Linked DNA regions of Caenorhabditis elegans. The protein of the gene in region 1 interacts with the protein of each later gene in a pairwise test. Each region holds a gene or a part of one and is shown in the gene's direction. Other genes may lie near its edges.

Region 1 (7,935 bases):
AATTAGTGGAGAAATAAGTGAGAGACTTGAATTCGTTAAGGGTGGGGCTTGAAATCGAATCGAATTGCTCCGATAGACCGCATGACAACCAGTTTTCAACACCACTTCACTTTTTTGCCCCGGATGTGGAACATTGATGTTAAGATACTTTTCCTGATTTACTTCCTTTTTAGGGTCGGAGTTGCAGATTTTGAGCTGAATACTCTGAAAGCGGGGTACCCAAAAACCAACAAAGTTTTCATACCTGCAAGCATACCTGACTTTACGCCTGCAAGGCACACTGGCAGGCATCATTATGTCTTACTTCATGAAATACTTTTTTAGAGATCCACCAACAACTTAGAAAAAATCCTTGTAATTCTAGACTAGTAGTGTAGTCGGGTAATTTTACAAATTACCCGACTACACTACTTAGACTTGCATGTTTTTTTGGGTTCTCCAAAAACTACCCAACCGCCAACTTTTTTTTGATCTATTATAAATCTTCAACCTGAAACTGCAGGCAACTTCCCTTATGTATCACTTTTTCCTGCCGAATTTCAACATTTCTGACCTAATTTAAACTCGTTTTCATGTTTCTCTCTCTTTTTTATTATGTCAAAACCTTGAAGTCGAAACTTCTAGATTTCAATTAGCTTTCATAACGATTTCAAAGCCCCAGACAACTTTCTGAACCTTGAAACTTAAAAATATATTATTTTAGGAGGCAGGTGAAGATTTTCATATATTGTGAGAGATTAAACGTAAATGATAATTTTTGAATTAGTTCGTTTTAAGAAAATGACTCTGATTTCATATCAGTGTCATATAATTATAGAATTTCAAATTTTCATTTTGAAAGCTTCACATTAATAGTTGTTTACCCTATTTTTGATATTCCCCAGACATTCAATTCGTTGAAATATTAAAAAAAGAATCTTGTGAATTGTTATATACACCTGCCAATTTCACTCGCCCGCCATGCACCAGTGTGCTGAAATTGAAATTGAAATTGAAATTGAAATCGAAAAATATGGAAATTTTCCACTTTTTCCTGCTTCTCCCGCCGAAAGCTCAGACCAGACCTCGACGCAGAAAAAATTTCGTTTGATTTAATTTCGAAATCACTGGCGGAAATATAAATTGAAAAGCCAAAGGTGTTGGCAGTCGGCCAAACGCGATTAGGGGCCAGCCAAGAGAAGGGGGAGAAAGAGGTTGGAATTGAAATTAATATATATTATATTTATGTGCAAGTAGGCGCTGCCCCCCACCAATATGCACATGTTATTGAGATTTCGAAAATCAGTTAGTTAAAGCTTTAGGCACCAAGTTTTATTTTTTTTCAGTATTTCGCCTTTTTTTTCAGTCCTATATATTTTTCGGCCGCTGGAAACTGGAAAACAAGCGCTCGATTTCTGCAATACCTGTGTTTTGTGTTTTTCGGTTCTTTCTTAGTATTTCGAAAAAAAAATTAAATGAAACTACAATTGTGTTCATCTATCCATCCTTCTTCTTTTGGGAATTCTCATAGACACTTGGTTTATTTTTTACTTTTTTCATCAACAATTCGTATATATTATCATATTTAAAACCTGAGAAGATTTCAAAGTATCTATTAAATTTTTCTTGTTTTTCAGAAAACGCCAGTTGATTCGACTTTTGGGAATTGTTCACAAATCGTTGAGAATCTTCATTCGGACATGATGGCCAACGCGGTCGATATGCAGCAGTTGCTTATGTCGATGGATCCGGTAAGAAACTTGGATTTTATGAATTTGCACTAGAGGAGCCATTTTTAGTCAACTTCTAAAATTAGAAGCGGAAAAAGTTTGCAAATTTCTACCTTTTGGTTTAAAAAATTTTTGCAAATTTTTGGGGGCCATAGTTTTGAATGTTTTTAAGCCTGCTTATATACATTTTGAGCCTGTATTGCCAAGACTTTGGTCATTTTGAACAATACAGTAGCCATTTGTAGGTCTACTTTTTTCAAGTTTTTCGGCTTTGATATTACCTAGCTCCAAAAATTTGTTATATATATTTTTGAATATTATCTTATTTATTTTAAAATATTTTCTATCGCCACTTATATTTTCAAACTTCTAAGACTTGGCCCTCTTTAAGCTTCTGATTTGTGTCTATAATTTTTCTAGTATTTTTTTCAGTTTTTCTTTAGAAATTAAAAGAATTTGTCTAACATGCGATTTGAATTCTTAAAAAAGAAGAATTTACGATAATCCATCCCGTTGTCTACTATTTATGCAAAATAATCAGCTTATTGCCCCTTTAGCCAAATCTAAATTTAGATAAAATCACAAGACTCGATCTGAAATTTTCTATTTGTTATCCCACTATGTTCTAGTAGATATTGTGTAAAGTTCCATTTTGGGAACATATTTTGGTTCTAGAAATTTTTTTTGATCTACCTTTGGGGTCTCTATTTTTGTCAATACTATTTTATCACTCAGTCTCAGATCAAAAGGATATGTCAAAAATGAATATTATAAAATTTTTGAAACTGTTTGTTTTTGTGTTGGGCTCACCATTAATTTATTATTAACCTTTAAGATGTTTAATTTTTAATTTTCAAAAATTGTGCGTACTACTGTATCTAACCAATATTGATTTACCACTTCCCTTTGTCACTCCACCGCTAATCCACTTGGCAATGAGCCAACAAATCTTTGAATTCCCATATTCAAATGACGAAGATGAACATCTGCTCAAATTCTAGTAAATTTGGAATTTGGGAAAAACCATCTAGCCCGTTGCGCAAATATGAAACAGATTCCAATGTCAGATGTGAAGGGTTAATTGATCGTAAAAGTGTTGTGTGGGAAGAAAGAAGAGTTTGGACCATCCGAAATAAATATGATGTAGTGGTGGTCAAGGGCGTTGATGAATTTCCATAGATAAGGTTCACATTGTTTTTTTGATGGAATTTTAGGATTGGCCTTGGATTTTGACATTTTTGTATCTCCGTTCCTTGGAAGTTTCTTTTCAAGCACTAGTTGGAGTTCTCATGTGCTTTGAATGAATCACTTGGAACTGAAACTTTGTAGAAATGAACTTGAATTCAAGATTCAAGCATGACTATTCTAGATTGACTTTATTCATTAAATTTCCTCCCGGTGAGCTCCTTCGAGTTCACACACGCCTTGCGAATAATTCATCACGGTTTCATAAAAGTTGAATAATCTTGTGGTGCTGGAGAAGTATCTCCCTCTACCCGGCTTCTGAGCTCTTTCCGTCTCCTTTTCAATTGAAAATAGAAAAGAGTGGAAAATTTTAGTAAAAATACGGAAGGTTGTCTATGTGACAAGGTCCCTTTTCTTGCCGATGGATATTTGAAACGAAAATCGCAGGAAACGATTACTCGATTAAAGTGAGACACTAGGAGACACTGCCTGGAGCCTCTTTTCGGGTGAAATTTGAATATGCTCCGCCTACTTGTTTGGGTTTTTGAGAATTCCGAGATTTTGAAGAAAGTTTTCAGTGTTTTTCAATTTATCTAATAGATTCAAAAGTGCTAACACGATTATAAGTACCAAGAAAAGCTCGGAGATCCATATTTCTCTTGACTAAAAAAGTTAAGGCGATTTCGTGTTCATACAATAATGCGTGTAGTTTCGATTTTGTTGTTCTTGAGAGTTTGAAAGTTATTTTAAGAAAATTTGAAGTTAAGGTATTTCAAAAAAGGTTCAAACAAGAAACTAGATCAAATCTTCGTTCATTTGACCCCTTTTCTTTACTCTTTGTCCACTCAATTTTTGTTTAGTTAGCCTTTTGACGCGTTCGGAGGGACCATTCAGACATCCCTCCCGGGAAGCCCCACCCTTTTCCCATTCTGTGTCTCCTCGAAACGTGTACTCTCTAGAAGTTATAAGTCCACTCTAAATACAGGGTTGTCTCCTCTTCTTCTCCTTCGTTTTTTACGTCTATCTCGCATTAGACACACAGAGACGGGAGGAGGGTCTCCCGCAACGGGACCACTCATATTCTCCCTTTTTGGTTTTTTCGTGTCTGAGTCTCTTCCCCCGTTTTTAATTTTATTTGCCCCCCCCCCCGTTCTCCCCGCGACGTTGCATTGAATTTATTGTTGAAGAGACATGGAACGGGTCAGTTGACCGACAGACGGTCCCATCAATTGTTCTTCATTTTTTCCCCTGTTCTCTTTCGATATAGTTTTATGATAGTTGAGAAGGTCCTAGGTACTGCGCAATAGTTTTTGGAACTGATAAACTGTGTTTCAAATATAACTACTGATAAGATACCTAGTCTTTTAGATCTAGAAATCGGTTCCCCAAATATTTAGTTCCATTAGAAATTTGGCAAACTTTTCTTAGATAATTCGAGATTTTGAAAATTGGTCAATTGACATTTCAATGAGCATGGTCCAAATTACCCCCTTATTTTTCTACGATGCTTGTAATCTCGTGTGAAATCTCACCTCATTAGACAATAGTCTATCCCTTCTCCCTTCACTACAGTACTCCTCCTTCCAATCTAATCCATAATTCTATTGTCTTTCAAATGACCCCTTACTCCTTCTTTTCTTTTTCATATCTGAAATCTTTTGTCAAATAACACTTTTTGATGGATCTAGTTGTCTTCTCCCTACATGTAAACTTTAACGTAAAAGAGCACAGAACATTGCTCTTGTTCCAAGACGGATGATCCCTCCACCTTCGCAGAATTAAATTTCAAAATATGTATAAATCCAAAAAAAAAATATATTAAAAACTTCCAGTAGATTTTCTTCATCTTTTTCCCATTTGGAAATGGAGCACTTTTTTTCCTAATTTTTTGATCGAAATTTTTGGCAACATATTCAATCTAATTTCGGACTATGAGCGGGGTGTGGGAAAAAAGTCATGTGGAAGTTTGAGTTTTTTGCCTCAATTTTTCTCAAATTTTTCTCAATTCACCTCAGTTTGGCATACCTAATCCCTTTATATTGAAACCACTTTACTTTGATAACCAAACACACAATTTCAATTCAAGATTGCTTCTTTTAAGCTCCCACGATCTTTCGTCTTTATAATATTTTCAACATTTGTAAATTTTCGAGTGCAAATAGTCTGCATATTTTTCATATTTCATGTTTTTGTTTTTCAGTCAAGCGCCAACCAATTCAATATGATGAATAAAGGAGGTGCTTGTGTCATGGCTACTTCTGGAGGATCTGCGAGCCCAACTTCATCTTCCGGAGCTCCATCATCATCTTCCATCATGGCAGAGACCGATGAGAAGGATATGTTCATGCCGAGCCAACTTATTCAAAACGGCCTTGCCAACAATCAATTGATGTCGATGATTCTCCAGCAACAGAGCAATCAGGCTGACTCGAACATCGCCGACGCTGGACACAACAACTCCGGAGCCGAGAAGAATATTATCGAGCTGCTGATGAGTGGAAATGCAGATTTGATGAAGTTCGCAACACAATTTGCTCAACAAGCTAAATCGGTAAGTTGTCAGCCAGACTTCATGCAAACAGATTAGCACCTAGATTTTTCAAATCTTGTACCAAGATTTAGACTTGAGAGAGTATTTGCAGATTTGAGTGGGCACCAATTTTAGAATTCTCTATTTCGTTTATTATCCAACGTTTTTTTCTTTATTTTGGATCCCATCTTTTCAAAAAGCTATAAATAGTAGAGGTGGAAGCCAATCTATTTATTAAATTATTCCTAAACGGATCTTGACAGATAATGCTGGATTTCGCTTGTTATCGTTATCAAAATTCGAAAATAGTTGTAATTTTTAAATTCCCCATTTGAATTTGCCACTTGAAGAAATAAGCCAATTTCAGGTTGATCAGGAGCCAGAAGAACAACGAGAATCCTCTCCAAGCCCACCACCAGCTGTTTCTCTGAACTCAACACTGGCATCCATGGTATTTCCGACCACCTCAACAGCTACGGAATGTAGTGCTGCTAGCACGACATCTTCAGTTGACTCAGCTCCATCTACAGTAATCGTCAATGGGCATTCGAATTCTCAATCAAATACAGATGATGATGATGTCACTCAGCAACCATCAGCCAAGAAACAGAGGACTGGAGATGAAACTCCATTGACACCAACTTCAAATAATCAACTCATGCAATCACTTCTCGCTCAAATGGGTCTTTCAAACCCGCTTCATCAGCAGAATCAGAAGCAGATGAAAGATGAATCTATGATGTTCAGTGGTCTCTTTCCACAAGGATTAGCTGGTATTCCACTGATGTTCCAGTCTCCTCTCCACCAACAATTTGCTGGAATGCAAGACTTTGAGCCATTGTCAGCTTTGTCCACAGTGAGTTTCAGTTTCTTTTCAATCGGTACATTGAAATTTCCTTTTTAAAATGCAAAATTTTCAGCCAAACAAGGGAAGTGGAGTCAAACGTCAATACTCTTCCAACAACAAAAACTTCTGTGATATTTGCAACAAGGAAGTTTGCAACAAGTACTTCCTCCGTACACATATGCTCAAAATGCACGGAATTGTGATTGATGAGAACAAGACAGTTATTGCAAATATCGACACAAGCATCAAGGAGCGAGAAGGAGAGCTTACTTTCCGATGTGACACTTGCCGAACTATGTTCAAAACTCGTAATCAGCTCAGGCAACATCGTCAGGATGTGCATGGAGTCTTGCCATTGTCAACTCCACGTAACAATCCAAACAAATCATCTGTTCCAACAACACCAAACGGAGCCAATAATAACTCTGGTCCGAATTCCGCCTCAATGTCTGAAGAAAAATGTGCATTGTGCGATAAAAGAGTTTCTCCATCAATGATGATGTTGCACATGGCTCAAGATCATTTTGGAGCTGCTGCAGCGAATGGAGATTTGAATCAAATGATGGCGATTCTCGGACAACGAAATCAATCAACTGAGGAAAAGATGAGCTCAAATCTTCTCGAATGTACTGACTGTAGTTACAAGACTCGTGATCCAAAGAATCTTGACTTGCACATGGAGAGGCATATCAAAATGAGTGAAGCGAAGGGAAGAGGCGATGAAGATGAGGATGTTGCTCTGCAGCTGACAACTGAAGCAGCTCTTCAAATGGTGGTTCAGAATCAGAATCAATATGACGGAGATTCAACGGCAGCCGCTCTCAATCTTACGTTCAAGAATGATGGAACAAAGAAAGAAATTGAAGAAGAGAAGGCAACTGGAAATCATGAGAGAAACTCTCATACGGTATGTTGACATATCTTATGATTTTAGCAACCATACTTTTTTTTAGAGTGGAAGCATTTCTCCCTCAGGATCAATTCCAGAAGGATTTGGAAAGAACATCGGAGAGAAGGCGTTCCCAACGCAGAGCTTTTTGATCAAGTGCAATGATGACAGTGGTAAGTTGACTTTTAAATTAGAGCTTTTCCTTACCAAATTTTCCATTTTCAGGTGAATTCCTCACCGAGTTCCTTGCTCAACTGCCTGTCCGATCAGTGATCGATGGACCACGTCAGCTGGTGTTCAACCTCCATCCAGCTCCACCGACTACCAGCTAGATTTGGTCCACTACCTCAAAAATGCTCTCCCACCATCATAGTATCTACCTTTTTTCTTCTCAATCTGTTGTATGGGTACCAAATGTTCCGGAACCAAATGAAAATCCCCGCCTTTCTCGTCTTTTGAAGTCCGTATCCTCCTTGTAATCTTCCACCACCACTCGCCCCAGTTCTTGATCTCCGTTACCGAATGTTAAAACACGTGAATATGTAATTGTTTTTTGTCTCATCTTCCGCTCCCCGAAACCTCTTTCATCACAGCCCCCCAAATTCTCCCAGTTAGCAACGGGCCCAAACATATTATCCACATTTTTTGTCCTAACTCTTCAGCCAAAATTTCTATTTACAACTTAATGCAAACTCTGAAGCTTGAAGCTTGTCTGAAACTTTCAAATTAGCTGAATCAGTTGATTTTCTAGTTTTTGATCTCTTTTATTTAATGG
Region 2 (4,286 bases), on another chromosome or scaffold:
CAAAAACAATTATTGGTGCAAAATCTGTTGATGTGGCTTTCAATGACTTTGGAATTATCATGAAGAATCCGGCACTTCGCTTGGAAAAATTTCCGATTCAGCTTTCTGTTGATGTTGAGCAAACTGGGACTTATTTTTCAACTCTTCTTGATGTTTTGAAATCCTCCATGTCTTGCCTACACGTTAAAAAGTTTCATGGGACAGATTTCTCCGAGGAGCAGCTTCTATTAGTGATCCCTTTCCTAAAAGCTGGATATCTTGAAAAAATTGAGCTGCTTTCCAATGAGCCCACAGATCTCGAGAAAATCGCTAAACTTGAGCAATGGAAAAGAGCACAAGTTTTTGATTCGTTCTGGAAGAGTTATAAGGTTTCTGTCGAGGATATGCTCCATTTCAGAGAGTTCTATGTAATTGTACCTTGCTTTTCAAAAGAGGATGCAGTAAAACTGAGAGATGTAAGTTTAAATAAAAAATCGAAAAAAAATCCAAGTATTATTTTCAGTTGCTCACAAAATCAGTGGACTTCGAGAACGGGTGCTTCAAGTTCCCCGAAACCAACATTATCGAAATAGTGAGAGTTTTCATTCTGGACTACGAAGGAGAAGAACGGGCCAAAATTGATTATAACGAGAATGGCACAGATTTTATCTTGGACTTTAGCACAGAACACTTTCGATTGACAAAAAAGAAGATTGTGGACAGTGACTGAAATTAAATTTTAAAAAATATGATTTTTTTTAAAAGTTTTTGTATTGAATAAATTTGAGACAGACCGACGGCTCGAATTTCAGGTCAAAAGTAGAATTTTGCAGTTTGCATAATTTCAGTTTTTGATCACCCCATTCAGTAGGGAGCCATAAAAAATGGAATGATGATTAATATGCTCTTCTGAAAAATTAGACTTGTGTAAACACAGTGACGGATAACGACGTACGATTCGATAAAAAGGAATAGCTGCGGGAAATGGTGAGCACATGTGTAGGCTAGGAAGCAGTAGGCATTTTTTAGATGTGTTTGGTGCGGTTCAGTCAATTTTTTGCTGGGCTTTTGTGCTTCACATTGAGAGCGTTTTGATATTTTTGACTAGAAACTGAATGTGAGAAAATACTTGTTTCCGAGTATACTAGATGCTATACATAGGTTTTACAGTTTTATATCTTTATTGCATTTAACTGAAAATGACCAAAATCTGAAAAGTACGTAATTGGAAAATGTATGTCAAATTTCAGAATTTAATTAAATATACAACTGAATCGAAATCTGAATATTCTGAAATTTTCAATGAAGATCTCAGTTTTTTTTCCACCATCTTTTGCGCTAGGTTAGCTTAAAGACATTTTTCGTTTAAAATGAAAAAGTATTTAAATGAAAAATGACATATATTACGAAAATTTCCGCTTTCAGAAAATGTGATATCATATATTTCCAGCGGACAATTTCCGCATTTCTATGACTCAACAATTTATAGTCCAAATTTTATTTCAATTCGATCATTCCCTAGTGAATGTTTGCTTCTGATTGATTTCAACTTTAAATACACAAGTGATCTGAAGTATGGTATATCTGCAAAAAATTTTAGAGAGATTGCTGCTCAACTTTTGGCACCTTTTCTCTCGTTTCTCTAACTGTCACTTTATCCTTCTTGTACTAAGCCGGCTGCCTCCAACAGGTCAAGTGGGAGGAGTCGTGATTAGAAGTTGAGCAGTAACCAAATTATTTTTATGCTATTATTGTAGATACTGACAGGATATTCTCAACTTACTCAACGAGAGAATATTTAACAAAAAAAGATGAGCAGCCAAAATGCGAAGTCAATCGGTGGCATTTTGGAAACTTCAACAGGTATGCCCCAATTTATGGGATCGAAAAATTTTTTCATGCTTTAACTAGATAATTACTCAACTCACCGAAATGTATAAATGAAAGCATTTGGTAAAATATATCAGAAAATTTTTAGAAGTCGAAAACAAACTTGCAACGTTGTTTTCTAGATTTTGGAATTTTTTTGACATTTTCGAACAGATTGATAGCAATTTTTGTACTATACTTGTTGACATCTCAAAAATGTATTCTATGTTTCCATTATTTAGATCCCAGTTACGTTATAACCTGACAGAGGTTTGCGGGCGGTAAGTAGAAAAACCAGAAGCTTACAAAACTTGACCGCACTTATCAGCTTCTCAATTTACTTAGTTCAAAAGTTTTATGACAGAAGATTTACAATCTTTCACGCATATCTATAACTTTCAGTGCCTCTGGTCATCCAACCGCAGATTGTAAATGACCCCGCGCAAAACAACATAACTCTTCCAATCACGCTTTGTGCAGTTTGTGGGGACACTTCTAACGGAAATCATTACGGTTGGAAAGAAGATTTAGAAACTAGATAACAATGAATTTTAGGTGTGCCAACCTGTTTCGGATGCAGTGGGTTCTTCAGAAGAACCGTTAGAAACAAGTTGGTACATGGATGTTGGAATGGAGACGGAAACTGTGTGATTGATAAAGCGAACCGGAACAGGTGCAAGTCCTGTCGAATTAAAAAGTGCTTCAAGAAGGGGATGAATAAGAATGGTAAGCTGCTTCTCTGAGTTTGGGCTTCAGATCATTAACTTTGTGTTTGCACCATATAGTGCGGTAGGTATTTTTCAGTGGCCGACATTTTTTTGAGTTTCGCGCCGCACCATATTAACAAAGGCCTGAGGCCGGCAGAAGCCTCCTGAAGCCGGCGAAGGCGACACAGTTTCGTCTCTAAATAATTATTTTCCAGCTGTGCAACCCGAGAGAACTTCCCATAGCTACACTGTAGAGTATGTCGAGTTGCCCTCATTCCGAGAGTATTCCAAGGGACTTCTGCCTACTCACTCTGATCGTCTCAGATTCCAACACGAACATGCTCAACATGAAATTGTTAGTTAATCAGGAGACAAACTATCAACCTGAGACACCACAAATTTAATTTCAGGACACAAGCTCCGTGCTAGTTCATCTGAAAAACGCACTCCAGTGGGTGCAACAGTTTTCGCTCTTCGCAGTGCTTTCCGATGTTGAAAAGGTCTAAATGCCAAACATAAAAGTCATTAAAAAAATTTCCAGAGCCAGATCATACTGACCCAGTGGCCACATCTTTTGTGCCTCGCGTTGTTCGAAAACTCCGAAAAAATCTTCATCGATGAAAAATTTGCACAACTGGCTGAGAAATTCAAATCCCTCGAACTTTCGGCGCAGGATTATTTCCTCTTGAAGGGAATTATTATTTTCACGGAAAGTAAGTTTAACTAGAAAAGCTGCTGAGCTTTCAGAAACTAAAATTTCAGCCAAAGATGGCACTGATCTCAAATTCGATCGCCAACTTGATATCTGTATCGGCCTTCTCAATCAGTTGCACCTGGAGTCTTCAAAGTCCAAATCTGGAAGGCTTCTATTTCTCCTCGGCGAGCTTAAATCCTATTCTACTAGACAGCTTGAATCTCTCCTGGATCTTAAAGCTTGTGAGATTGTGATTAGTTTTCTTTAAATTTTGACTATTTTTCTGATGCTGTTATATGCACACATTACCCCCATTTTGCTCACTAGTAGTGCTCAGCTTAAGCTTAGACTTAGGCTTACGGTTAAGCTTAGGCTAAGGCTTAGGCCTTGGCATAGGTCCTGGCTTAGAGATTTTCATTTAATTTGCAACTGTTTCCTCAAAAACAATGTTCAAACCCAAATTTCTTTCCTATTTTTTCTCCAGATTCCCCCAAGGCAACCAAATTTTTTAAACAATTTTCTTCTCGATCAGTTGAAATACTTCCAAAAACGTTACAACGATTTTGAACAGTTTTTTTACAAGTCAAAACAGTAGTTGGCTGCAAATTTGGCCGCCAAAGTTTTTTTTTTTTGCAAATGGTAAATTCATACACAATGAACAAACTACACAATATACAGACGTTATACATTTATTTAAATTATATTTTTTGTTGGAAGCAATGTAAAGCGTACTTGACAGACAAAGTTTTTTTTTGTTTAAAATAATTTTTGATTTTGTTTTAAGTGACATAAAAGAGGTATGTAAACCGAATCAGATAAAGTTCAAGTTAATTATGTTTACCAGGGAGCTTAATCCTCGCACCAAGCGTTTTCCTTCTTCATGGCCTCCCGTTCCTCCTCGGAAAAATCGTTCTCAATGTTGAAGAGGGTTCGGATTTGGCTTGGAGTTTTACCCTTCATCATGTTAGCCACATTCTGGGTGGTCACGTCCAAAAGCCCACGGATGTCGAGGTAGTTGGCGGCCTGAAAAAGAAATC

What was found.
Region 2: the proteins of die-1 (region 1) and nhr-111 interact in a two-hybrid assay, tested with the Caenorhabditis elegans proteins (2 studies listed by BioGRID).

What each region holds. Positions count from the first base shown.
Region 1 is NC_003280.10:10,061,662-10,069,596, reverse strand, and holds the start of die-1 (C2H2-type domain-containing protein), read left to right. Parts: upstream 1-1,679; coding exon 1,680-1,730; intron 1,731-2,430; exon of another isoform or gene 2,431-2,451; intron 2,452-3,613; exon of another isoform or gene 3,614-3,766; intron 3,767-5,094; coding exon 5,095-5,445; intron 5,446-5,791; coding exon 5,792-6,280; intron 6,281-6,344; coding exon 6,345-7,178; intron 7,179-7,224; coding exon 7,225-7,333; intron 7,334-7,385; coding exon 7,386-7,492; 3' UTR 7,493-7,935.
Region 2 is NC_003283.11:16,122,286-16,126,571, reverse strand, and holds nhr-111 (Nuclear hormone receptor family member nhr-111), read left to right. Parts: upstream 1-1,732; 5' UTR 1,733-1,790; coding exon 1,791-1,842; intron 1,843-2,250; coding exon 2,251-2,361; intron 2,362-2,403; coding exon 2,404-2,574; intron 2,575-2,770; coding exon 2,771-2,910; intron 2,911-2,965; coding exon 2,966-3,055; intron 3,056-3,096; coding exon 3,097-3,268; intron 3,269-3,317; coding exon 3,318-3,517; 3' UTR 3,518-3,677; downstream 3,678-4,286. Other genes in the region: fbxa-143 (F-box domain-containing protein), read left to right, coding at 1-455, 503-709; skr-3 (Skp1-related protein), read right to left, coding at 4,099-4,272. UniProt on the Caenorhabditis elegans protein: Orphan nuclear receptor.